4 linked regions of the Saccharomyces cerevisiae S288C genome follow. The gene in region 3 interacts genetically with the main gene of each other region. Each region holds a gene or a part of one and is shown on either strand. Other genes may lie near its edges. The genes, in order: GFA1, PUT1, YER137C and STL1.

Region 1 (7,022 bases), on a different chromosome or scaffold from region 3:
ACGTAGAGTTCTTAGGCACGAACGATTGGTGATTTTTCTTTTATCGTCGAGACGCTTGGGAGACATCACGGGTATTTGATGAGAACTAGATTGATCGTATTTCTGTTTTGAAATACTCGTCGGAGGGCCATGGCTGTTCGTTTTCGTATTGGAAGCAGTTTTCCCTGTAGAGGAATCAATATTTGGAGACGTTTCTATCGAATAAATGGACGAGGAAGTACTTGATGGAACGGCTGATTGTTTCAAATCAGATCTAAGTTGTGGTTGTAGTGAGCTTTTCAAAAGGTCAGGTGCAACTCTTGTGGTATCCGTGGAGGACTTGGAGTTCACGTTTTCGGAATCTAGGCTGAAAGTGTCTGAACTTGTGTTAGTGAGGTAAGGATTAGCACCACGTAAATACTTGGCCATGTTTGTTCCGGACTGACTAACTTCTGCATTTTCAGAATTTTGTTCCTTCTTTTTATTATCTTCTGTCTCGGTAGAATATTCTGAAGGGTGTTTTAATGAAGGCACGTCAGATATATCTTGTTCTATTTGAACCGGATCTCTCATTATCACGTCATAAGAATCATGATATTCATCATCATCGTCATCATCATCGTCATCATCATCGTCAACATTTTCATCATCGTCAACATTTTCATCCTTGTCATCATCGTTAACATCATCGTCCTTGTCATCATCATCGTCATTATCATTGTCTTTGTCATCATCATCGTCCTTGTCATTGTTGGGTCCATTATTTTTGTCCATAACACTACCAGTCTCATCCTCCAGTTTAACGTTCTCGATCCCAGAAGTGCTAGGGAATTTTTCAGAACTTTCCGGTTCATTATCGGAAAGCGCCTCTTCTTGATCTTCTTTTTGGACTAAAAAGCAATTTGTATCGACGAGGCCTGACTTTTTTCCCTTTGTACGTTCTTCCTGTTTTTCACTATCATCATCTTGCGGAATTTTTAGTCCAACCTGATTTCCGCCTATTTCAGACTCCACACTTGTCTTTGCAGTAGCGCGAAGATCAGTTGCCGAGCCTTCTATATAATTATAATCGGATAATTCGCTGCCAGTGAGACTGTTTGAATCTGCAATGCACCTCACTTCGTTATCTGAATTCATGTGGAAGTTAGAATTGTTTAAAGAGCCGAGAAGAATAGGATCTACTAAATTTCCTTCGGCATCAACAGAATCGATATTCTCTGCATTTTCAATATTCTGAGTTTGATTGGAGAGAGTTGATGGCTCTTTCTCCACGTCTTCCGGAGGTACATAGGCAGGCTTAGGTTCTGATAAAGTAGGTTGACGAATCGTGATCGATTTGACCTCGGATGCTACTTCCTGTCCTTTGTGAAAGTGTTGTTTTCTTTTGCTTTCAATTAGTTTTAATTCTTGGGCTTCAAGGTCGGCATTCTCCTTAACTATATTTAGCTCTCTTTTCAATAACTCCATTCTCCGTTCTTCATCTAGCTTAACTTTTCGCAATTCCAAAATTAAGCTTTGTTCCCTTTCTTCTTCGTTCAATTTTGCTATTTCGATATTTGATATTTTTTCCTCCAAGCTATGAACCTCTTTAAGCAATGTTTCAATTTCTTCCTTTTTCTCACGTCCACTGAGACCACTTTTATCTTTTTTGGGTATGCTACGATCGAGAACGCTGGGTTCAATAAAAGAGTTTTCGTCATCGGATATAATCATGGGTTTAAATTCTAAAGGATCATGAAGATCCTCTTGCAGTTCTTGTTCCGTTTCCTCGTTCATAGTTGTTGGTATTAATGGAACATTGTTATGCCGTTGCTTTAATGATGTAGTATGCATTTTAGATAATACTTTGCCATGATAATCGTTTTTTGATTTACCGCCGCTTTCACTTTTTTTCTCTTGTGATCCTGCTTTCTTAGTAGTTTTATTCCTATGCATTAGACTAGTTTTGTTGTTTCGAGTAGGCAAAGAATATGCTCTACCACCTCGTTGGTTTGAGCGGTTGCTCAGACTGTATCTAGGAGGCTCTACTTCCACGGGTACTTCCACAGCCATTAACCCCCTAGGGCCTGGTATGTATTTTTTTATCGTCCTTATTGTGCTGCCTGAGTTCCCAAGTGATGTGGTCCTTGATTTACTATTCTGACCAGTCGAACTTGAAATGTTTAAAACCTTCGATGACTGCTTGCCTCCAAATTCTCGAAACGTGGTTTCTGCATCCTCGTGAGCCCTGTGTTGCCTTCTCCCCGCCGAATTATTAGAGGTATTCTTATGTCCTTGGTTTGGCAAACTCGACGTGCGCTTAGAGTATTGGCGAACGTTACCATTCATTAAGAGCATCCTTGAGTTAGTCCTAGAATTCGAGAGCATTGTATACCTATTAATCCCTGCGATTGACGTAGTTCGAGAGGTAAAACTCTGATTGTATTGCGGTATTTTACTCTTGTCAACGGTCCTCCCATTATAACTGAGCGCATTTCCAATTGCTGCTGCTGCTGCTAAGGCATCTGGACTACTTTCTTGGATCATCCCGCTATTTCCAATGCTCCCACTATTTGTTGATACTTGCCTCTTTCAGAGCTATCTGCCTTATGTTGATTATTAGGGTTAATAAATGCTATTTCCTCCCGCAATAATTGTGTAATTTGAACGAAGAATATGAAGAAGATGGAATGGCGATTTTCACTCTAAATTTTAAAAATTGCCTCTTTACAATAGCGAATTTCCTAACCCTTTTTTTTTTTTGTTGATTGCCTATTGCTCGTTCACTTCCCATTTATTTTCTCTCGAATTTCACCAAAAGTTGATGTGGATAATCAATCATCGGGCCTATTCCTGCGGGTAAAACGCAGGGCCCAACTCAGGATAGGGTTTAATATTATTTTAGAGGACTTACAAGAAGGAAGTTATATGGTTTAAAAATTGTAACAAAGTTAGAACACATTTATTTAGCAGGTCTAATTTAGGGCTGCAACTATCTTTTTGGTTATTCATATAAAATATAATTTTTTATTTATATAGAGAATACAAGTGGAATCATCTTTAACGCCAGCTTGTAGTGCGCATTGCAGAATAATGGAAGTTCAAAAATTAAAAGCGAAGGAGAAGTGATAGTAGAAAGACGGATGGGAGGCTGGGGGACGAAGAGAAAGTAAAAGGGTTAATTTATTCGACGGTAACAGATTTAGCCAAGTTTCTTGGAAAATCAACATCAATCCCTTTATTAACAGCCAACCAATATGACATTAGTTGTAATGGAATAATATTAATTAGACCTTGTAAACAATCAACAGTTTGTGGAACTTCTAAGGTTTGCAGGTCGATTGATTTAGATTTTTGCGCCCACACTTCATCATTTTCGTTACAAATAATAATTGGATGGCCCTTTCTTGCAGTAACTTGCTCAATAGAGGAAACTACTTTAGGGAATAGAGAGTCTCTGGTACCAAAAGCAATGATTGGCAAGTTTTCGTCCACCAAGGCCAAGACACCGTGCTTCAACTCACCTGCCAAAACACCTTCAGAATGCATATAAGAAATTTCTTTGATCTTCAAAGCACCTTCCAGAGCAGCAGCAAATTGGTAACCTCTACCCAATAACAATAGAGATTTTTGATCCTTTAATTCAGTCGCACAGAGCTTTTTTATTCTTGGTTCCAGCTTTAATACCTGCTTAATTTGGCCCGGGATTAACTTCAAGCCTTGAATGATTTCAATTCTTCTGTCTATTTTCGATACACGGTCATCTGACAGCGATAGAGCAAACATCACTAAGGCAATATACTGGGAAGTATAAGCTTTTGTAGAGGCAACACCAATTTCAGGACCAGCGTTAATATGAACACCACAGTGGGTGACACGAGAGATAGAAGAACCAACACTGTTAACAATTCCGACAGTTAAGGCTCCTCTTTCTAAACAATAATTTAGAGCCAGCATGGTATCCGCAGTTTCACCACTTTGTGAAACAAACACGCATACATCGTCTCTGAAGACAGGGCATTTTCTGTCCAGAAAGTCAGACGCTAATTCCACACTAACTGGGATATCTGATAATTCTTCGAAGATAGCACGAGTAGCCAAACATGAATGATAAGAAGTACCGCATGCGATCATGATCAGTCTCCGTGCTCTTCTGACAACTGGTAACCATGCCTTTAAACCACCCAATATCACTTTATTATTTTCATAGTCGATTCTACCTCTCATAGTATTGAAAGTAGATTCTGGTTGCTCATAGATTTCCTTTTGCATAAAATGGTCGTAAGGGCCCTTCATGATCTGAGCTAACTCCATCTCTAAAGTTTGAATGGACCTTGTCATTGATGCGCCTACTTCTCTTCTAGATCTATGAATATGTAACTCACCATCGTAAATATGAGCCAAATCGTCATCTTCTAAAAATAGCACCTTCTTGGTATGTTTAACAACAGATGCCGCATCCGAAGAAACAAAAAATTCCACCGGTGTTGGAGATCCATCTTCTGATAGGAAAGCCCTGGATTGAGAATGTCTCAAGTTAAATTCATTGGCGGCAATTGGTAGTAAATTGGCATTTTGGGAACCAGCTTCAAATTCACGAGCTTTCTTTGGGCCCAAGCCAAATGATTTGTTGTTAGATTTCAATGGAATTTCCGGTTGACCAGCGTTTTCTTCGGGAAATTCCACATCCACGAAGTCGACTTTTAGTTTTTTTTCAGATTTGACACCAATCAGTAAAGGGGACCCTTTTCTAGTGGCGATAACCTCATTAGGATAGTGACAAGATTTACATAATAACCCGTATGAACCTTCTAGTTCTAAAAGAACTAGCTTGGTTAATTCGTGGAAATCTAAGTCATGCCCATTTTGTAAATTTGTATTGTATAAATGCAAATATAGTTTAGCAATACACTCGGTATCGGTATCACTTTCGAATTTATAACCTTTGTTAATTAAAAGAGTCTTCAGTTCTCTAAAATTTGTGATGATACCATTATGAACGACCACAAATTGGTCTTCTGGGTCAGATCTTTGAGGGTGACAGTTAACTTGTTCTGGTCGACCGTGAGTAGCCCATCTAGTATGCGCAATACCACAATGAGAGACAAAAGTAACGTCTCTGTTCGGATTTTGCTTAGTAATCTCCTCTTTCAAAGCACTCACTTTACCGATTTGCTTATAGATGAAAGTAGAATCAGCTTCGTCACCATCGATAGCAATACCGGTGGAATCATAGCCTCTATATTCTAATCTTTGTAAACCATCCACTAAGGTGTCGATAATTTCTCCTCTGGATCTTTCCACTAGATAATTGCAGTAACCAAAGATACCACACATTTTTTTATAAAAGTTGCTGTTGATTTGCTCGAGAACTTATTGCTTATTTGGCCCTGATAACTATATAAGAAAAGAAATACAGTTATTCCTTGTTTATGCTGGCTTTTTGTCCACTTTTTCTCAACTATATAACTATGATGTTGGAAAGGACACCGGTTCTGTAACTTTGCAGTGAAAATAAGTGTGATGGATGACTGAGAATGCTTTCTTGTAAGCGAAAAGAAGTACGTGTTCCAAAAATAAAGCAGAAAGGCGAAAAGGGTCGAATGTAAGACACTAAATAAATATTTTAAGAAGAGGAAAAGTCGCCTCAGAAACGCTAAAATGCATCCGATTTCCCAAAGAGGAAGTCTAATGTTTTCGATTTGTGAAAAAAAGATAAAAATCGAAGAAAATGTAGGGAGCCGCGCGTTACCCGGATTGATATTTGAGTGATCGACGGCGTCACAAAAGAAAGAATGCTTGGCTAATCAAGAAAAGTATGTGGTTTGTTTCATCTAATACGGCTGTCAAGGCCCACATTGGTGTTCAAATGCATTTTTTATAGTTCGTGGTTACTGTTAATATTCTTTCCTAGTAGAATGTTTGGGGTTTAGGTATTTTTGATGTTTTATTTATAAATAGATATTTATATCTTGACGATTGTGGTGTTTTATTTTTTTTTTTTTATACATTTTTCTTTTCTTCCTGATTCGAAATAAAAGTATTTTTAGAAAAAGGATAAAGAAACAGAAATCAAAAGAAATAAAAAGAGTGTGGCAAAATCACAACTCGCCGAATTCATCGTAGACTGATCTCCAGTGCTTGAAAAATCCGTTGAAGAACTTAACACCTAATCCGACATCCTTGGACCCTGTAGCAGCTCTGATGCTGTGCATGGACAACTGTGCAATTCCCAGGTCTATGGTACGAGCACCTGTTTGAGAAGCCAATGATGGGCCGATAGTACCACCTGATCTTGAGTTGTTTTTGATTTGGAAATATTGCACTTTGTCTCCATTGCGGCGTGCTAATTCTTCTACTAGGGCAGTTCCTACGACATCTGTGGCCATATGACCGTTAGGATCCAGTGATAAAGTGATTCCGACATTAGGCACTGGAAAATGATTCTTCAAATAGACTTCAGGAAAGTTTGGGTTGTAGAGGTGGTTGACGTCTGCGGACAAGATGATGGAATTAGCCCAAACCGTATGCAAATCGACCGGTTTCTTAGTGAATGCAGAAGAACTGCGTTCCACCACTGACTCCAACAAGCCACCTTTTGCGCCTTGTCTTGTCAACGATCCGATTTCTTCATTATCATACAAAGTGACAGTAGAGAATAAATCTGATTCCTCGGTATTAACATCCTTAGCGTAGCAAATCAAAGCAATCATTGCTGCGAAACTACACAACCTGTCATCTAGACGTGGTGCAAAAAGGAAGTGTTTACCAATACCTCCAATGGTACCCTTTTGCACATCGAATAAGTCTAAATCCATTTGAATCAATTCGGACACTTCCACACCGGCTAATTTGGCAACGTACCTTAACAGGTGGATGCAGTGTTTGCCAAATAAGGGCGATTTCTTTTCATCATCCGTGGGAGGTTCATTACCTTCCTCATCCGGAGTGGGGAAGCCGATGACCGGGATAGTTTGGTCCTCTTTATCAAATGGGCCTTCAGCAGGTTTACCGAAATGGGGAGCCAAGGAAGGAATTCGACAAACAGGTAGGGGTGTAGAATC
Region 2 (6,227 bases), on a different chromosome or scaffold from region 3:
TCGTCAATCTCGAACCAAATCTGCAAAAAAGGGGACGAGGAGGAGCCAGAGGTGGGCGGCACAGGAGTGAAGTTCAGCTGTATGAAGGATTGATGCGCATTTGTTATTAGATGTTGATCAAGAGGCACAGGCACAGGTACGGCTGATGATGATGATTCTTTGTACATTGGTAGATTCAGTAATTTTGAAATAAAACTCTTATGTATTAGAGGTTGGAAAATACTAGAAAAAGACGCGGACTGTAAGGAGTGACCTAGCGTTATTGATAAAGATTGGGAAATAGAGTCGGAAGGGGAGAGAGATGGTATATTTTTAGACAAGGAAGATTCGAATTGGCTGACCTGCGCATCTGTCAATTCTGGTGTGGCGTTTTCAGTGGGAGTCATCAGATCTGTGCAATTTTTAGGGACAACTGACTGTAATCTTGCCCAATCTTGTGACTTGTTTAGCCAGTCCAAGTTCTCTAGAGTATTGTTGAACGGATAGAGTTCTGTCTTGAGTGCTGGTGAGGCTATTGTGTGGTGGTGTTGAGTTGTGTTAGGATTAGAAGCGACGGCATTTAATAAAAAGACTTTGGCCATGGATATTTTCTTGGTGCTTAGGGCTGAAATCTTGTACATTTGCAAGTCCGGGAGGTATTCAAAAAAAGTGTGAGTTTCCTTCTGAATAAGGTTGATGACGTCTTTTGATGGCATGAGGGAATACATACGCACATTTTCATGAGTGATGTTTGACCATATTTTGTTTAAGGATATTTCTGCGTATTTGAGCAAGCTAGGCGAACCCTTGACGGTCAATTCGTTATCCTGAATGGAGATGATGAATGTCAGCCCGAGCTTATTGAAGTTGGTGAGTATTTTACCATTTTGAGTGATGAGTAAAAGGAAAATTTCTCTAGGAGAATCGAACTGGAAAGTCAATGATGTGGACTTGATGCCTGTGGGAGTGGTGGGTGTTGAAATTGGTTGGCAATTCCAGATTTTTTCAATTATATATTGGGACAGCTTGCTTTTCTTCCAGTGCGTCAGATGTGAAGAGGAGTCTGGCTGATGTGTGGAGATGAACTCGCGCAGTTGGTAGCGATTGTAGCTTGATGTAAGCGATTGGAGAAGGGCATTGTATTCCAGGGAGGGCAGACTGGCGCTTGTCGGTTTCTTCAATCGGATGGAGTTCAATGCGGAATCTAGTGAATTCTGCTTTTCGAAGACAAGGAGTTTCGAGCCGAAATCGAGGTTGTTATCTCCAGTTTCCTTATGGCTACGTTTCTTAGACGGCCTGTGTCTAGGCTGCTTCTGATCATTTTTCACTAGCCCAGATTGGGTAGGGTTCAAGACGACGAATTTCAGATTTTGCGGCAGTTTCTTCTTCCCATGAAGGGGCGAGCTTGGGCCTGAGCTTGAATAAAGACGGTAAGTAAGACGGGCGAGCTTTTTGTTGAATTTCCACATATGCTTACTCTATATTTTCTCCAGTGCCTTCAAGCTCCGTATATATTATGTACTAGTTTTATTACATTAAAGATACATAACTTTTTTTTTTTTTTTCAGTTCACTGAAATAAGAAAAGGCGGGCGAGGTGAAAAACAAAAAAAAAAGTATAGAGAAACAGAAGTGGAAGAAGAGCTAGGAAAGCACAGCGCATACGACGGTCACCTAGGATGGAGCACCAACAATTGCGGAAGTACGTCGAATTGTACAATAAGGAGGTCGAGGAATTCTACAATGGTGCCGCGTCAGGCCGCCCAGCTGAGTTCCATCCTTCCAAAGTACATGTAAAGAGCATCCATGAAAAGGCGGGTACCGCCAATGCTGGTGTAGAAATCTCTAGCGTTGGTGTAGACTGGGACAGCGAGGAGAAGAATACCTTTTTCTGGTGCCTTTCACGCTATAGTATCCACCGTGTAGACGAGTGGCGCTCATTGTTGCCTCGGAAGAGCGCCATGGAGATTCTAGGTTATTACAGGTTGTTAAGGAGAGCGAGTGCGAGCGCGAGATCGCGTAAGGCGGGTGACGACGGAGCGCCCATTGCGTACGAAATGAGCGCTGAGTGGGTTGCCCTGGAGACAAAACTGAGCGAGACAGTGATGGCCATCACGGAAGGCGCAGCCGAGGTTGCCGATGAGGAAGGACACTGCGAGGGCCTTATCGATTATGAAAGCTGGAAACGCAGGTGGGTGGCCATCTACTCGCACAGCCGTATCGCGGAGATAAGACCCTTGCCCCGCCACGCGCTGCCGCTATCGCGCAGCGCGACGCAGACTTTGGAGCGCTGCGTAAGTCGCTACACACGTACATTGCTGTGGTGCACGGCCCTTGCGGGTATGGCTTCCCGCAGCGTCAGCGCCAGGGCGGCCGAATCTCGAGGACACAAGTCGCTACCGACGGTGGTAACTCGCCGGCAAGTTGAGCGTGCACTATGCACAGAAGCCCGATCACGTGACCTACACGTGCTTCCAAGGCGCATTGTTTTGACACTGCGCAAATGGGAACTAGACTATCCGCGAGAGGGCAAACTGTTCCGCACCAAGGAGATGGCACATCTGTTTCTACAAAGCCAGTTGTCCAGACGGGATGCGCCCCCAGTCCATCAAGACGAAAATCAAGAAAATCAAGAAAATCAAGAAAATCAAGAACAAGATAACACTGCAAGTGAAGGTGAAAGCGAGGCAGAAAGGGATGAAATCGACGAAGCGGACTTGTTCCGATCAGCATTACATGAAAATCAGTTGCTAAAATGGTTATCCAAATGAGACACAATGCGAAAAATCGCGCAGGGACATAATTTTTGTTTTCATTATTCTTTCGCTTATTCCCTCCGTTAGCTCCACCGCTTTTTTGATTGGAATTTCCTTTCGGCAATGGCTTTCCGGTTACCACGCCTCGGGTTTCGCATCCCGAAAAGCATATCTACACAAGAAAAATGAATGATAAACAATTGATGAGTGGCGCTATTTCCCTTATCATCTCATTATTGTACTTAGTATCGTCTATTATCAGGAGAAATCGCATGAACTAAGCCCATTTTCTCACCCTTCTGCCTTCTTATATAAAGCTTGCTGGGAACCGAACACAAACTCCACAAGTCCGTAGCAGCTCTTCTCTTTTGTCTTTTATATATCATAAACATCGCTACATAGTAATAACACTAACGCACGCTAGAAATGATAGCTTCCAAAAGCTCCTTATTAGTTACTAAATCGCGCATACCCTCTCTATGCTTTCCTTTGATAAAGAGGTCCTATGTGTCAAAGACTCCGACACACTCTAACACGGCTGCTAATCTGATGGTTGAAACTCCGGCCGCCAATGCCAACGGCAATAGTGTGATGGCACCTCCTAACTCAATCAATTTTCTACAGACACTTCCCAAGAAGGAACTATTCCAACTGGGATTCATCGGTATTGCGACCTTGAACAGCTTCTTCCTGAACACGATCATTAAGTTGTTCCCTTACATCCCCATCCCAGTAATAAAATTCTTCGTCTCTTCTTTATACTGTGGCGGTGAGAACTTTAAAGAGGTCATCGAATGCGGCAAACGTCTGCAGAAGAGAGGTATATCGAACATGATGCTTTCATTAACTATTGAAAATTCCGAAGGTACAAAGAGTTTGTCCAGTACTCCAGTAGACCAAATTGTCAAGGAAACAATCAGCTCTGTCCACAACATCCTACTGCCCAATATTATTGGCCAGCTGGAATCTAAGCCAATCAATGACATTGCTCCAGGTTATATCGCTCTAAAACCCTCTGCTTTGGTCGATAACCCTCACGAGGTTCTGTACAATTTCAGTAATCCCGCCTACAAGGCTCAAAGGGATCAGCTGATCGAGAACTGCTCTAAGATTACAAAAGAGATTTTTGAACTAAATCAATCTTTGTTAAAGAAGTACCCTGAAAGAAAGGCCCCATTTATGGTTTCCACTATTGACGCTGAGAAGTATGATTTGCAGGAGAATGGTGTTTACGAATTACAGAGAATCTTATTTCAAAAATTCAATCCCACTTCATCTAAACTGATATCATGTGTCGGTACTTGGCAGTTGTACCTAAGGGACTCTGGTGACCATATTTTGCACGAATTGAAGCTGGCCCAAGAAAACGGCTATAAGCTTGGGCTGAAACTGGTTCGTGGTGCTTATATTCATTCTGAAAAAAACCGTAACCAAATTATCTTTGGCGATAAAACGGGCACTGACGAAAATTACGATCGTATCATCACTCAAGTTGTCAATGATTTAATCATCAATGGCGAGGATTCTTATTTTGGTCACTTGGTTGTCGCCTCTCATAATTACCAATCCCAAATGCTCGTTACTAATTTGCTAAAATCTACCCAAGACAACTCTTATGCCAAATCGAACATTGTGTTGGGGCAATTACTAGGTATGGCAGATAATGTTACCTATGACCTAATTACCAACCATGGCGCTAAAAACATAATCAAGTATGTCCCATGGGGCCCACCATTGGAAACTAAAGATTATCTTTTGAGAAGATTGCAAGAAAACGGGGATGCTGTGAGATCTGATAATGGCTGGCCATTAATCAAGGCCATAGCAAAGTCGATTCCAAAAAGAGTAGGCCTATGAGAGGACTATAATATATACTCCAATTTCAAAGACAAACCAAAAAACCAAAAAAAAAAAAAAGTATGCATACATAATTCTGATGTTCTAGTTATACATATTATATATAAGTAATGATAATAACACTAATAGTAAAGTAAACGCACGGATATCAAGAGTTAATATACTTGAACCACTTAAATAACAATCTGTTGGTAAAGCTTTCTTCCTATTGATTATGGGTTCGAATAGTACCAGATGTTTTGCCAATCCTAAATCGGTAGGAAAGTGGCTTGTCGTCGTCAGGCTTATTATCAACTCTTATGCACAAGAAAGGTACTCATCTTCTATAAACTACATAAGACCTGAATCTAATCAAAGGGAGAAAGCGCAGAACATCAGATTTAAAGCGGTTTTGCTTGATACACTCAGCCTTGTCTCTTTGTAAGGATTTTGGGGTACCTATGAATAATACATCTAGTAGTGTTAGTAAACCAACGTATGGGATTTTGGGATACATAGTTTTCCAGTGTTTCTTATCCGTGATAGTTTAATGGTCAGAATGGGCGCTTGTCGCGTGCCAGATCGGGGTTCAATTCCCCGTCGCGGAGAATTTTTTTAAGCTTCTATTAAAGAAGCTTTTTTTCACTTATATCTGATGGATGATGAATAGCTAGTTCAAACGGAAATCTTTGATAAAGCTATATCAAAATTCAAAGCCCAATAAGTCAGTATCATGAAGTTTATAGCATTAATATCAGGTGGGAAGGACTCGTTCTACAATATTTTTCACTGCCTGAAGAACAACCATGAATTGATTGCCCTGGGAAATATATACCCAAAAGAATCAGAAGAGCAAGAATTAGACTCTTTCATGTTCCAAACAGTAGGACATGACTTAATAGACTATTATTCTAAATGTATTGGTGTTCCACTATTTAGACGCTCAATATTACGGAACACTTCTAACAACGTCGAGTTGAATTATACTGCTACTCAGGATGATGAAATTGAAGAACTATTTGAACTTCTAAGAACTGTCAAAGATAAAATTCCAGATTTAGAAGCTGTTAGTGTAGGTGCCATCTTATCGTCTTACCAGAGGACCAGAGTGGAAAATGTTTGTTCCAGATTGGGTCTAGTAGTGCTAAGCTATTTATGGCAAAGGGATCAAGCCGAACTAATGGGTGAAATGTGCCTTATGTCCAAGGATGTTAACAATGTTGAAAACGATACTAATTCAGGAAATAAATTTGACGCCAGGATAATCAAGGTGGCAGCAATTGGATTGAACGAGAAACATTTAGGAATGTCCTTGCCTATGATGCAACCGGTGTTACAGAAACTTAACCAACTTTATCAAGTTCATATCTGTGGAGAGGGTGGGGAGTTTGAGACAATGGTCTTGGATGCCCCTTTTTTCCAACATGGATACTTGGAATTAATTGATATTGTCAAATGTAGCGATGGTGAAGTTCACAATGCAAGGTTAAAGGTAAAATTTCAACCGCGTAATTTGAGCAAAAGTTTTTTACTCAACCAATTAGATCAATTACCTGTACCTTCGATTTTTGGTAATAATTGGCAAGATTTAACCCAAAATTTGCCAAAGCAACAAGCTAAAACAGGAGAACAAAGATTTGAAAATCACATGTCGAAT
Region 3 (5,244 bases):
CTTTAGGTTACCCTTATGTTTGAATCGTTTATCTCACATTGGCGGTGTTTTCCCCTCTCCTGTGGGCTCCAAAATCTTGGCCGTGGGAAGCTTCAGCGAGGGATTGTAGATGTAGTTTCAACACGTCGGCTGATTTATCCCGATTTTGTTAGTAGAAAAGGTTCTACTTCATTCTTGCTTGAGACGTCGTCCCATCAAATTTCTAACATAGTCTTTTTTCAAGGAAGGATATTTTTCAAAGCAGGACTGCAATTAGTCTTTTCCTTTTCTTTACTCCCCTTCCATCATAACTGTTAGTGAATAACCACTTATATAGCATAACACAATGGATCAAGAAACAATAGACACTGACTACGACGTGATTGTCTTAGGTACCGGTATTACCGAATGTATCTTATCTGGTTTACTCTCTGTAGATGGAAAAAAGGTATTACATATTGACAAGCAAGACCATTATGGTGGCGAAGCTGCTTCTGTGACCTTATCTCAATTGTATGAAAAATTTAAACAAAATCCGATCAGTAAAGAGGAACGGGAGTCCAAGTTTGGTAAAGATAGAGATTGGAATGTCGACTTAATTCCTAAATTCCTGATGGCCAATGGTGAGCTGACAAATATTTTAATACATACCGATGTGACCAGATATGTCGATTTCAAGCAAGTTTCTGGCTCCTACGTTTTTAAGCAAGGCAAAATTTACAAAGTGCCAGCTAATGAAATAGAAGCCATTTCATCGCCATTGATGGGTATTTTTGAAAAACGTAGAATGAAGAAATTTTTAGAATGGATTAGCTCTTACAAAGAAGATGACTTGTCCACTCATCAAGGATTAGACTTAGACAAGAATACCATGGATGAAGTGTATTATAAATTTGGGTTAGGCAATTCTACCAAAGAATTCATCGGTCATGCAATGGCTTTATGGACCAATGATGACTACTTACAACAACCTGCTAGGCCATCGTTTGAGAGGATTTTGTTATATTGCCAAAGTGTTGCCCGTTACGGTAAATCACCTTATTTGTATCCTATGTATGGGTTAGGCGAACTTCCACAAGGATTTGCTCGTTTGTCGGCTATTTACGGTGGTACTTACATGCTAGACACTCCAATTGATGAAGTATTGTATAAAAAAGACACAGGAAAATTTGAAGGGGTCAAGACTAAGCTGGGAACTTTCAAGGCCCCATTGGTTATTGCTGATCCAACTTATTTTCCCGAAAAATGTAAATCTACTGGTCAAAGAGTTATTAGAGCCATCTGTATTCTTAACCATCCAGTTCCGAACACCAGTAACGCGGATTCTTTACAAATTATTATCCCACAAAGCCAACTGGGAAGGAAAAGCGATATATACGTTGCGATTGTTTCAGATGCGCATAACGTTTGCTCCAAGGGTCACTATTTAGCAATTATTTCTACAATCATTGAAACTGATAAACCACATATAGAATTAGAGCCTGCTTTCAAACTTCTGGGACCAATCGAAGAAAAATTCATGGGAATTGCCGAATTATTTGAACCAAGAGAAGACGGCTCTAAGGATAACATTTACTTATCCAGATCATACGACGCATCCTCTCATTTCGAATCCATGACTGACGATGTTAAAGATATTTACTTCAGAGTAACAGGCCACCCATTAGTTCTAAAACAAAGACAAGAACAAGAAAAGCAGTAAATTCATACCTTTACGACTAAAGCAGCAATTGGAGGGTAAACTTATTTTTTCCGATAATGTTCTTGGCAAATGAGTTACCAATAAATGACATGAATTACAGAAAACAAGAAAATATTTGCCAAAAAAAAACCAATACAAAAATATAGGGGAAAAGATTATCCTTTATTCCTTTCTCATTCCACTTTTTTTTTTTGTTATATGCGTATTCTGATTGATTCATAACTAAGTATCTTTCCTTTTCTTTTCTTTCAATTTCTTTTTTCCATATATAAATACATAAATTTACATACCTTATGTAGTATAATATATGGAAGAATGCTACTGAACACATCAGTACACATGCTATGTACTTACAATCTTAGTAAGGTAGATGTAGGTCTAATGCTTCGATGATCCCTTCATTATTTCTTGGGTATAACTGTCAGTCTCGCACCGCAGTGTGCCCTTGTGTGGCCAGCCTCGTGACAAAATGAACATTTTATCTTATTTTTTTTCTTTTTACTACTCTTTTTGCTGGTTACTCCCTGAATAGTGCTCGTAGTTTTATCTGCCTCTTCCTTGGCTTTAATCGGTATCAGGGCATATTTTTGATCGTCTTTTTCCATGATCTCTATTCCATTCCGCAGTACCATGTCAAGAACACTAGTATTCATCATACTTCCCACAGTGCTTTCATGCAATCCCAGTAGTAGGTTAATGAATTTCTCTAATTCTTTCAACTTATGCTCGTACTCAACTTGTAATTGTGATCCATCTTTTTGCTTTGAAATGATCAACTTAGCCAGGACATCCATAGCTTGTGACAATCTGACTATATCATTTTCAGTCTTATTTGATGATTCACACATTCCTTGTTATAACAACCCTCGGTATTCTTTTAACAAACTTACGATGACTATATTGTATTAGTGTCAACCTCATCGCCAGGAACTTTTCATTGAAAATCTTCTGACAAATTTTCTGTGTAAAGGAAAGAAAATGGAGTATAAAATCGAAAGTTTATTCCAATTGTGCTAGGCTGTAATGGCTTTCTGGTGGGATGGGATACGTTGAGAATTCTGGCCGAGGAACAAATCCTTCCTCGCGGCTAGACACGGATTGCACGCCCTTTGGGCAAGGGATAGTTCTCTATTCCGCACCGTGCCCTGTTGTGGCAACCGTCTTTCCTCCGTCGTAAATTTGTCCTGGGCAGAGCTGTCTGCCCGGAGGCGGGAGAGTCCGTTCTGAAGTGTCCCGGCTATAATAAATCGATCTTTGCGGGCAGCCCGTTGGCAGGAGGCGTGAGGAATCCGTCTCTCTGTCTGGTGCGGCAAGGTAGTTCTGGGTCCTTAGGGGCTCCACCTTCACCGCTGTTAGGGGAGTTTTATCCAGCGTCAGCAAAGGTGACCCGTGATGGAGGCGGCCGGGATAGCACATATCAGTCGGATAATTGTGCAAGTTGATCGCTTCGGCGGTTTAATTTGGCGGTGCCATCAGGATTTACTCGCACATTGTGGCCGTTCCCTCGGGGATGGAGTGTGTCCTGAACCATATTTTTTAACATTTTTTTGAACTAATTAACCGTCCCAATGAGGGATGTTGGAAGAGTAAGTTGATTTAATGTCCTATTCTTGTTCTTTTCGAATATAAATGACGATTGGAAGGTGCATGTCAATGTTTATCATCATGTTCTTGTTGTAGGTAGTCCTTACCTTGGTTGTAGAGTGAGTAGCGACAGGCGGCAGCGGAATATAAGAAGGATAAAATGAGAATACTTAGAACGTGTTGAAAGAAGAATAAACGATCATCCATCGACTAGTACTGCTGCTACTAGTGTGCTGTCATACTACTAATATATTATCATATACAATATAAGAAGATGTCATAAACATTGAAAATAGTCATCAAATCTAATGGAAGCTGAAATTCAAGGGTTGATAATGTAATAAAATAAAGAATGACAAAGTATAAAAGGAAGAAGATAGAGTAACATTATTATGTAGAGCTATCAATTCGCTTTTTGTAGATTCCTATTTTTTCTCGAGGAGAATTGCAGCATATTCGTTCCACGTAATATTGCGGCCTTTAACAACAATGTAATTCCAACAATTATCTTAAAATTTGTCTATATTTTTAAAAAAGTATGAACAATTACCAACATGTGGTACATATTGGAGGCCCGCAAAGCTGAGTTGGCATTCATTCATTCTTTAAGTTGAACAAAAAGACAAAAAGATTTTCAAAAAAAATATGGTCTCTAGCGGGATCGAACCGCTGATCCCCGCGTTATTAGCACGGTGCCTTAACCAACTGGGCCAAGAGACCAAATTTTAATGAAATACTTTTACTGGAAAGAAGGTAACAAACCATGGAAGATGCTTTTCTACCACCCATGAAAGTCTGAGATTTTTATTAATGATGTTGGAATAAAAATCAACTATCATCTTGAGAAATGGGTGAATAATTAGATAATTGTTGGGATTCCATTGTTGATAAAGGCTATAATATTAGGTATACAGAATATACTAGAAGTTCTCCTCGAGGATATAGGAATCCTCAAAATGGAATCTATATTTCTACATACTAATATTACGATTATTCCTCATTCCGTTTTATATGTTTATATTCATTGATCCTATTACATTATCAATCCTTGCGTTTCAGCTTCCACTAATTTAGATGACTATTTCTCATCATTTGCGTCATCTTCTAACACCGTATATGATAATATACTAGTAATGTAAATACTAGTTAGTAGATGATAGTTGATTTCTATTCCAACATACCACCCATAATGTAATAGATCTAATGAATCCATTTGTTAGTTAATAGTTTAAATGTTTTTATCGGAAGAGGTTTTGTCATCACATCAGCAATGTTCTTCTTGGTCTCGATGTAGTATACGTATAAATTATTACCTGATACTTCATCTCTAAGTCTCATTGCCTTTGTGCCAAAAAATCTGTTTCTAAATTTCTCTTCATTTGTAGACTTAATTATACTGATCGTTGATCTACTATCAGTAAGTAAGCCTTTAATAATTGGTTTCTTGTTAAGTTCTTGTATCAGGTAACTTAGATTATTTAATAATGGGACAGATTCACTTATCGCGTGTATTTCTGCTTCCGTAGTTGAAGTACATGTTAATGAAGCCTTGGTGGACTTTCCTCCAATTACCTTTCCATTAAGTAAATATATGTTGCCAATTTGTGATTTATAATACGGTTGGTTGCCATACGAAGCATCACTTATTGCGACTAGTTTATTATCTGGCTCGGTAGGTTTGTTTTTGTGCCATATCAGTTGTTTATCTCTAGTGTCCCACATGAATTGTATCAACTCATATGTCATGTCTAAAACTTGCCTAGAGGGGAATAGTATATGTTGAGCAAGTGTGTTGATGTAGTATAGTAAGTCAAATCTAAATTTATATCCAACATATGAAGCTAGACCAATCAACTTTTGCATTTCATGTACCTTCTCTTTGTATTCATCTTCATCTATTTCTAGTTCATCCTGGTCTATATAAAGACCTGGTTGACCTGGAGCGCTAAGTTTTCTTCCTTTTGGATTCAAAGGTACGT
Region 4 (5,449 bases), on a different chromosome or scaffold from region 3:
ATTCATCGGTGAGTGAGGATAATAGTGGCTTTTGTAAAAATTTTTATTATGGTGCTAATACACCATACTATTTCTGAGGCAACACCAAAGAAGGGTCCGAGAGTTCTTAGGCAGTAAAAAAGTTACACAGCCTCAGAAGACAGGGATCATGCAGTAAAAAAAAAAGCTCGATAATTTCATCGATCAATTGACCAGCCAATTTATTCTTATACCCTTATTTCTACCGATATAAACAGTTGGATAAACGGACAGGTTGAAGTGCAACGTTATTCAATGGTGACAGTTGCTTCTGGACTAAGAAAGGCTAGACCATGTGCCAGAAGTGCAGAAAAATGAAAGCAGAGAGCAAATAAAAAAACTCGACAAACATCGGAATATCAACCAGACAATAGCAAGTGGACACAATGAAATAAAAATCTCACAGGCAAAAACGCACTTAAGGTGACGTAGATGCGTCCATCATTTAAACACGATACCAACATTATCTGATGTTTCAATGTTGAAAACTGACATTCAAATATTCCGCAACCAGCGGACGAACTGAAGGAGCAGGCGACTACAATGCGCAGGGCGATTGGCGCGGTAACTTTGCCATGATCAAATATTTGTGTAGCGCTTTGTTCACTATCGAACTTTCTAAATGAGTTAAGGAAGAGAAGAAAAACAATATGATACCGCAAATACGTATTCTCACCTAAAATGGCAAGGCAAAGCTTCGCCGAGGAATTCAGCCCGAGAGTAGAAAATTTACTAATGTGGTCTCGCGTGTGAATCAGCAATGATTCTGAAATACTCCTTTTACAACCTTTGCAAAGATAATGTCTTTCAGTCTGATATTACGAGCGACCTAGAACCACTAATCCATATTCTTCATTCAACTTACTCCATTTTCCTTGGCAAACAATGCCCCACAATCATATACGTCATAACTATAAGGGATATGTCTGGAATGCGGCCAAGATAGAATTAAAGGGCTGCAGAACACCACTACTGATACTCATTGCCAAGGCTAGGAGGCACCATCCGTTTCATTTTCTTTGAGGTAAGCCAATCATGAAATAGTATACACATCCATAACGGACGTACGGACGAAATAAGTGCCGTTGTCCCACTATTCCACCGCATTTGGCCCATTTGGCTCACTTTGACTCAACTTGCGTCATTTTAACTGATATGAAGGGTCCGACTTTGTCCTTTTTCGGCCACCGCATACCCCACGGCGATGCCTCCGCTACCTGCATTTGAGTAGCATCTCCGTTTCGCGGGGTATTCGGCGCTACGTCGCCTGTTCGAGCGGCTCTGTTCGTTGCATGAAACTAAAATAAGCGGAAAGTGTCCAGCCATCCACTACGTCAGAAAGAAATAATGGTTGTACACTGTTTCTCGGCTATATACCGTTTTTGGTTGGTTAATCCTCGCCAGGTGCAGCTATTGCGCTTGGCTGCTTCGCGATAGTAGTAATCTGAGAAAGTGCAGATCCCGGTAAGGGAAACACTTTTGGTTCACCTTTGATAGGGCTTTCATTGGGGCATTCGTAACAAAAAGGAAGTAGATAGAGAAATTGAGAAAGCTTAAGTGAGATGTTTTAGCTTCAATTTTGTCCCCTTCAACGCTGCTTGGCCTTAGAGGGTCAGAATTGCAGTTCAGGAGTAGTCACACTCATAGTATATAAACAAGCCCTTTATTGATTTTGAATAATTATTTTGTATACGTGTTCTAGCATACAAGTTAGAATAAATAAAAAATAGAAAAATAGAACATAGAAAGTTTTAGACCATGAAGGATTTAAAATTATCGAATTTCAAAGGCAAATTTATAAGCAGAACCAGTCACTGGGGACTTACGGGTAAGAAGTTGCGGTATTTCATCACTATCGCATCTATGACGGGCTTCTCCCTGTTTGGATACGACCAAGGGTTGATGGCAAGTCTAATTACTGGTAAACAGTTCAACTATGAATTTCCAGCAACCAAAGAAAATGGCGATCATGACAGACACGCAACTGTAGTGCAGGGCGCTACAACCTCCTGTTATGAATTAGGTTGTTTCGCAGGTTCTCTATTCGTTATGTTCTGCGGTGAAAGAATTGGTAGAAAACCATTAATCCTGATGGGTTCCGTAATAACCATCATTGGTGCCGTTATTTCTACATGCGCATTTCGTGGTTACTGGGCATTAGGCCAGTTTATCATCGGAAGAGTCGTCACCGGTGTTGGAACAGGGTTGAATACATCTACTATTCCCGTTTGGCAATCAGAAATGTCAAAAGCTGAAAATAGAGGGTTGCTGGTCAATTTAGAAGGTTCCACAATTGCTTTTGGTACTATGATTGCTTATTGGATTGATTTTGGGTTGTCTTATACCAACAGTTCTGTTCAGTGGAGATTCCCCGTGTCAATGCAAATCGTTTTTGCTCTCTTCCTGCTTGCTTTCATGATTAAACTACCTGAATCGCCACGTTGGCTGATTTCTCAAAGTCGAACAGAAGAAGCTCGCTACTTGGTAGGAACACTAGACGACGCGGATCCAAATGATGAGGAAGTTATAACAGAAGTTGCTATGCTTCACGATGCTGTTAACAGGACCAAACACGAGAAACATTCACTGTCAAGTTTGTTCTCCAGAGGCAGGTCCCAAAATCTTCAGAGGGCTTTGATTGCAGCTTCAACGCAATTTTTCCAGCAATTTACTGGTTGTAACGCTGCCATATACTACTCTACTGTATTATTCAACAAAACAATTAAATTAGACTATAGATTATCAATGATCATAGGTGGGGTCTTCGCAACAATCTACGCCTTATCTACTATTGGTTCATTTTTTCTAATTGAAAAGCTAGGTAGACGTAAGCTGTTTTTATTAGGTGCCACAGGTCAAGCAGTTTCATTCACAATTACATTTGCATGCTTGGTCAAAGAAAATAAAGAAAACGCAAGAGGTGCTGCCGTCGGCTTATTTTTGTTCATTACATTCTTTGGTTTGTCTTTGCTATCATTACCATGGATATACCCACCAGAAATTGCATCAATGAAAGTTCGTGCATCAACAAACGCTTTCTCCACATGTACTAATTGGTTGTGTAACTTTGCGGTTGTCATGTTCACCCCAATATTTATTGGACAGTCCGGTTGGGGTTGCTACTTATTTTTTGCTGTTATGAATTATTTATACATTCCAGTTATCTTCTTTTTCTACCCTGAAACCGCCGGAAGAAGTTTGGAGGAAATCGACATCATCTTTGCTAAAGCATACGAGGATGGCACTCAACCATGGAGAGTTGCTAACCATTTGCCCAAGTTATCCCTACAAGAAGTCGAAGATCATGCCAATGCATTGGGCTCTTATGACGACGAAATGGAAAAAGAGGACTTTGGTGAAGATAGAGTAGAAGACACCTATAACCAAATTAACGGCGATAATTCGTCTAGTTCTTCAAACATCAAAAATGAAGATACAGTGAACGATAAAGCAAATTTTGAGGGTTGATTCACACACAACTCACAAATCATATTTTGTAATTTACTTAAGAAAGCATTTTGCGGGGTTTATATTTGTTCCTTGCCGCACCAATAATATTCATATATTACTACATAACTTTAGTATTTTAACACCAGACGATCTGTCTTTTGAGGAAATATGTCCACTTTCATTTTCTTCCGCTTGCCGGCAATGCCTATAAAAAGCTTATAAAATAGCCCGACTCCGTAGTCTTAATATTTATTTAAGTACAATAATAGTCCCACAAAAATTTTTAAAACATCTTTATTGATAACGTGGACGTGTTATTACATTGGAGCGAATGATGACGGAAGTAGGAAAATCTGAATACTAAGGTGAAGATATTTTAGCAGGGTGCCGCCATGGATGTTCTATGAATGTCTTCCTTCCTTTTCTCTCATGGGACACCGCAAAAACCTGTTCTACCATCATTTAACTGCAACATACAAAAAGCCACCAACTTTCGAACACTGCAAATGGTGCTATTCTCTTTTTGCGGTCTTGCCATGATATTCTTCTTGCAAAAAGGGTTTTAGAGCAAGATTTCAAATTAGCCATGAATATCATGCATCGCTTAGAGCAGTAAGATTTTACCAGAGCTTTACAGGACCTATTTTTCATACGTTATGCACTTCATTCTTCTTGTCGGTTTGATAACAGCAGAATCTAGTTCCTTTAATTTGAACGTTAGCCCGGCAGAAGCCATACCTCGAAAACGCAGCAGCGCTTCATAGGCATATCAAAAACAGGGCAAGGGACACCATACATCACCTAGTGCTGTTACTTATAACCAACTTGACAACGATTGCACAAGAAAAGAGTATATCTGTGAAGACAGCCAAAACGCTTAACATGTTATGACATAAATTGCAGACAAGAAATTGGATGTATTTTACAGACTTTGCATTCCTGTCTGAAAGCCTTTTTACATAAAAATGGTTTCATTAGTAGCACTTCGTATCGTTTTCAAATAATGATGAGATGCTCCAAAAGGAAAGTTGGCACAGAAAAAATGACGCGCCTTTCCTGTTTACCGTTAAACTTCTCAGAAAAAGTATACTCGACCCATTTTTAAGATTGGTGATGGATAGAATTTCATTTAACATAATGCTGCAAATATAGATTGATTTCAATCTACGGAGTCCAACGCATTGAGCAGCTTCAATTGAGTAGATATGCTCCTATTTCCAAGAAGAACTAATATAGCCTTTTTCAAAACAACAGGCATTTTTGCTAATTTTCCTTTGCTAGGTAGAACCATTACAACTTCACCATCTTTCCTTACACATAAACTGTCAAAGGAAGTAACCAGGGCATCAACTTCGCCTCCAAGACCAAAGAGAATTGTTGTCGCAATTACTGGTGCGACTGGTGTTGCACTGGGAATCAGACTTCTACAAGTGCTAAAAGAGTTGAGCGTAGAAACCCATTTGGTGATTTCAAAATGGGGTGCAGCAACAATGAAATATGAAACAGATTGGGAACCGCATGACGTGGCGGCCTTGGCAACCAAGACATACTCTGTTCGTGATGTTTCTGCATGCATTTCGTCCGGATCTTTCCAGCATGATGGTATGATTGTTGTGCCCTGTTCCATGAAATCACTAGCTGCTATTAGAATCGGTTTTACAGAGGATTTAATTACAAGAGCTGCCGATGTTTCGATTAAAGAGAATCGTAAGTTACTACTGGTTACTCGGGAAACCCCTTTATCTTCCATCCATCTTGAAAACATGTTGTCTTTATGCAGGGCAGGTGTTATAATTTTTCCTCCGGTACCTGCGTTTTATACAAGACCCAAGAGCCTTCATGACCTATTAGAACAAAGTGTTGGCAGGATCCTAGACTGCTTTGGCATCCACGCTGACACTTTTCCTCGTTGGGAAGGAATAAAAAGCAAGTAACACTTTTTCTGAGCATTTTATTACGTTACTCAACTACTAATAGAGTT

What was found.
Region 1: mutations in YER137C (region 3) and GFA1 together harm fitness more than expected from each alone (negative genetic interaction), as found in Saccharomyces cerevisiae (one large-scale study listed by BioGRID).
Region 2: mutations in YER137C (region 3) and PUT1 together harm fitness less than expected from each alone (positive genetic interaction), as found in Saccharomyces cerevisiae (one large-scale study listed by BioGRID).
Region 4: mutations in YER137C (region 3) and STL1 together harm fitness more than expected from each alone (negative genetic interaction), as found in Saccharomyces cerevisiae (one large-scale study listed by BioGRID).

Annotation. Positions count from the first base shown.
Region 1 is NC_001143.9:240,079-247,100, forward strand, and holds GFA1 (glutamine--fructose-6-phosphate transaminase (isomerizing) GFA1), read right to left. Parts: upstream 5,296-7,022; coding exon 3,142-5,295; downstream 1-3,141. Other genes in the region: SEG2 (Seg2p), read right to left, coding at 1-2,505; YKL104W-A (uncharacterized protein), read left to right, coding at 4,954-5,208; metalloaminopeptidase APE1, read right to left, coding at 6,060-7,022. UniProt on the Saccharomyces cerevisiae protein: Involved in amino sugar synthesis (formation of chitin, supplies the amino sugars of asparagine-linked oligosaccharides of glycoproteins).
Region 2 is NC_001144.5:422,026-428,252, forward strand, and holds PUT1 (proline dehydrogenase), read left to right. Parts: upstream 1-3,160; coding exon 3,161-4,591; downstream 4,592-6,227. Other genes in the region: SLS1 (Sls1p), read right to left, coding at 1-1,448; RRN5 (Rrn5p), read left to right, coding at 1,658-2,749; DPH6 (diphthine--ammonia ligase), read left to right, coding at 5,304-6,227.
Region 3 is NC_001137.3:439,291-444,534, forward strand, and holds YER137C (uncharacterized protein), read right to left. Parts: upstream 2,530-5,244; coding exon 2,083-2,529; downstream 1-2,082. Other genes in the region: GDI1 (Gdi1p), read left to right, coding at 326-1,681.
Region 4 is NC_001136.10:1,506,229-1,511,677, forward strand, and holds STL1 (glucose-inactivated glycerol proton symporter STL1), read left to right. Parts: upstream 1-1,776; coding exon 1,777-3,486; downstream 3,487-5,449. Other genes in the region: phenylacrylic acid decarboxylase PAD1, read left to right, coding at 4,674-5,402.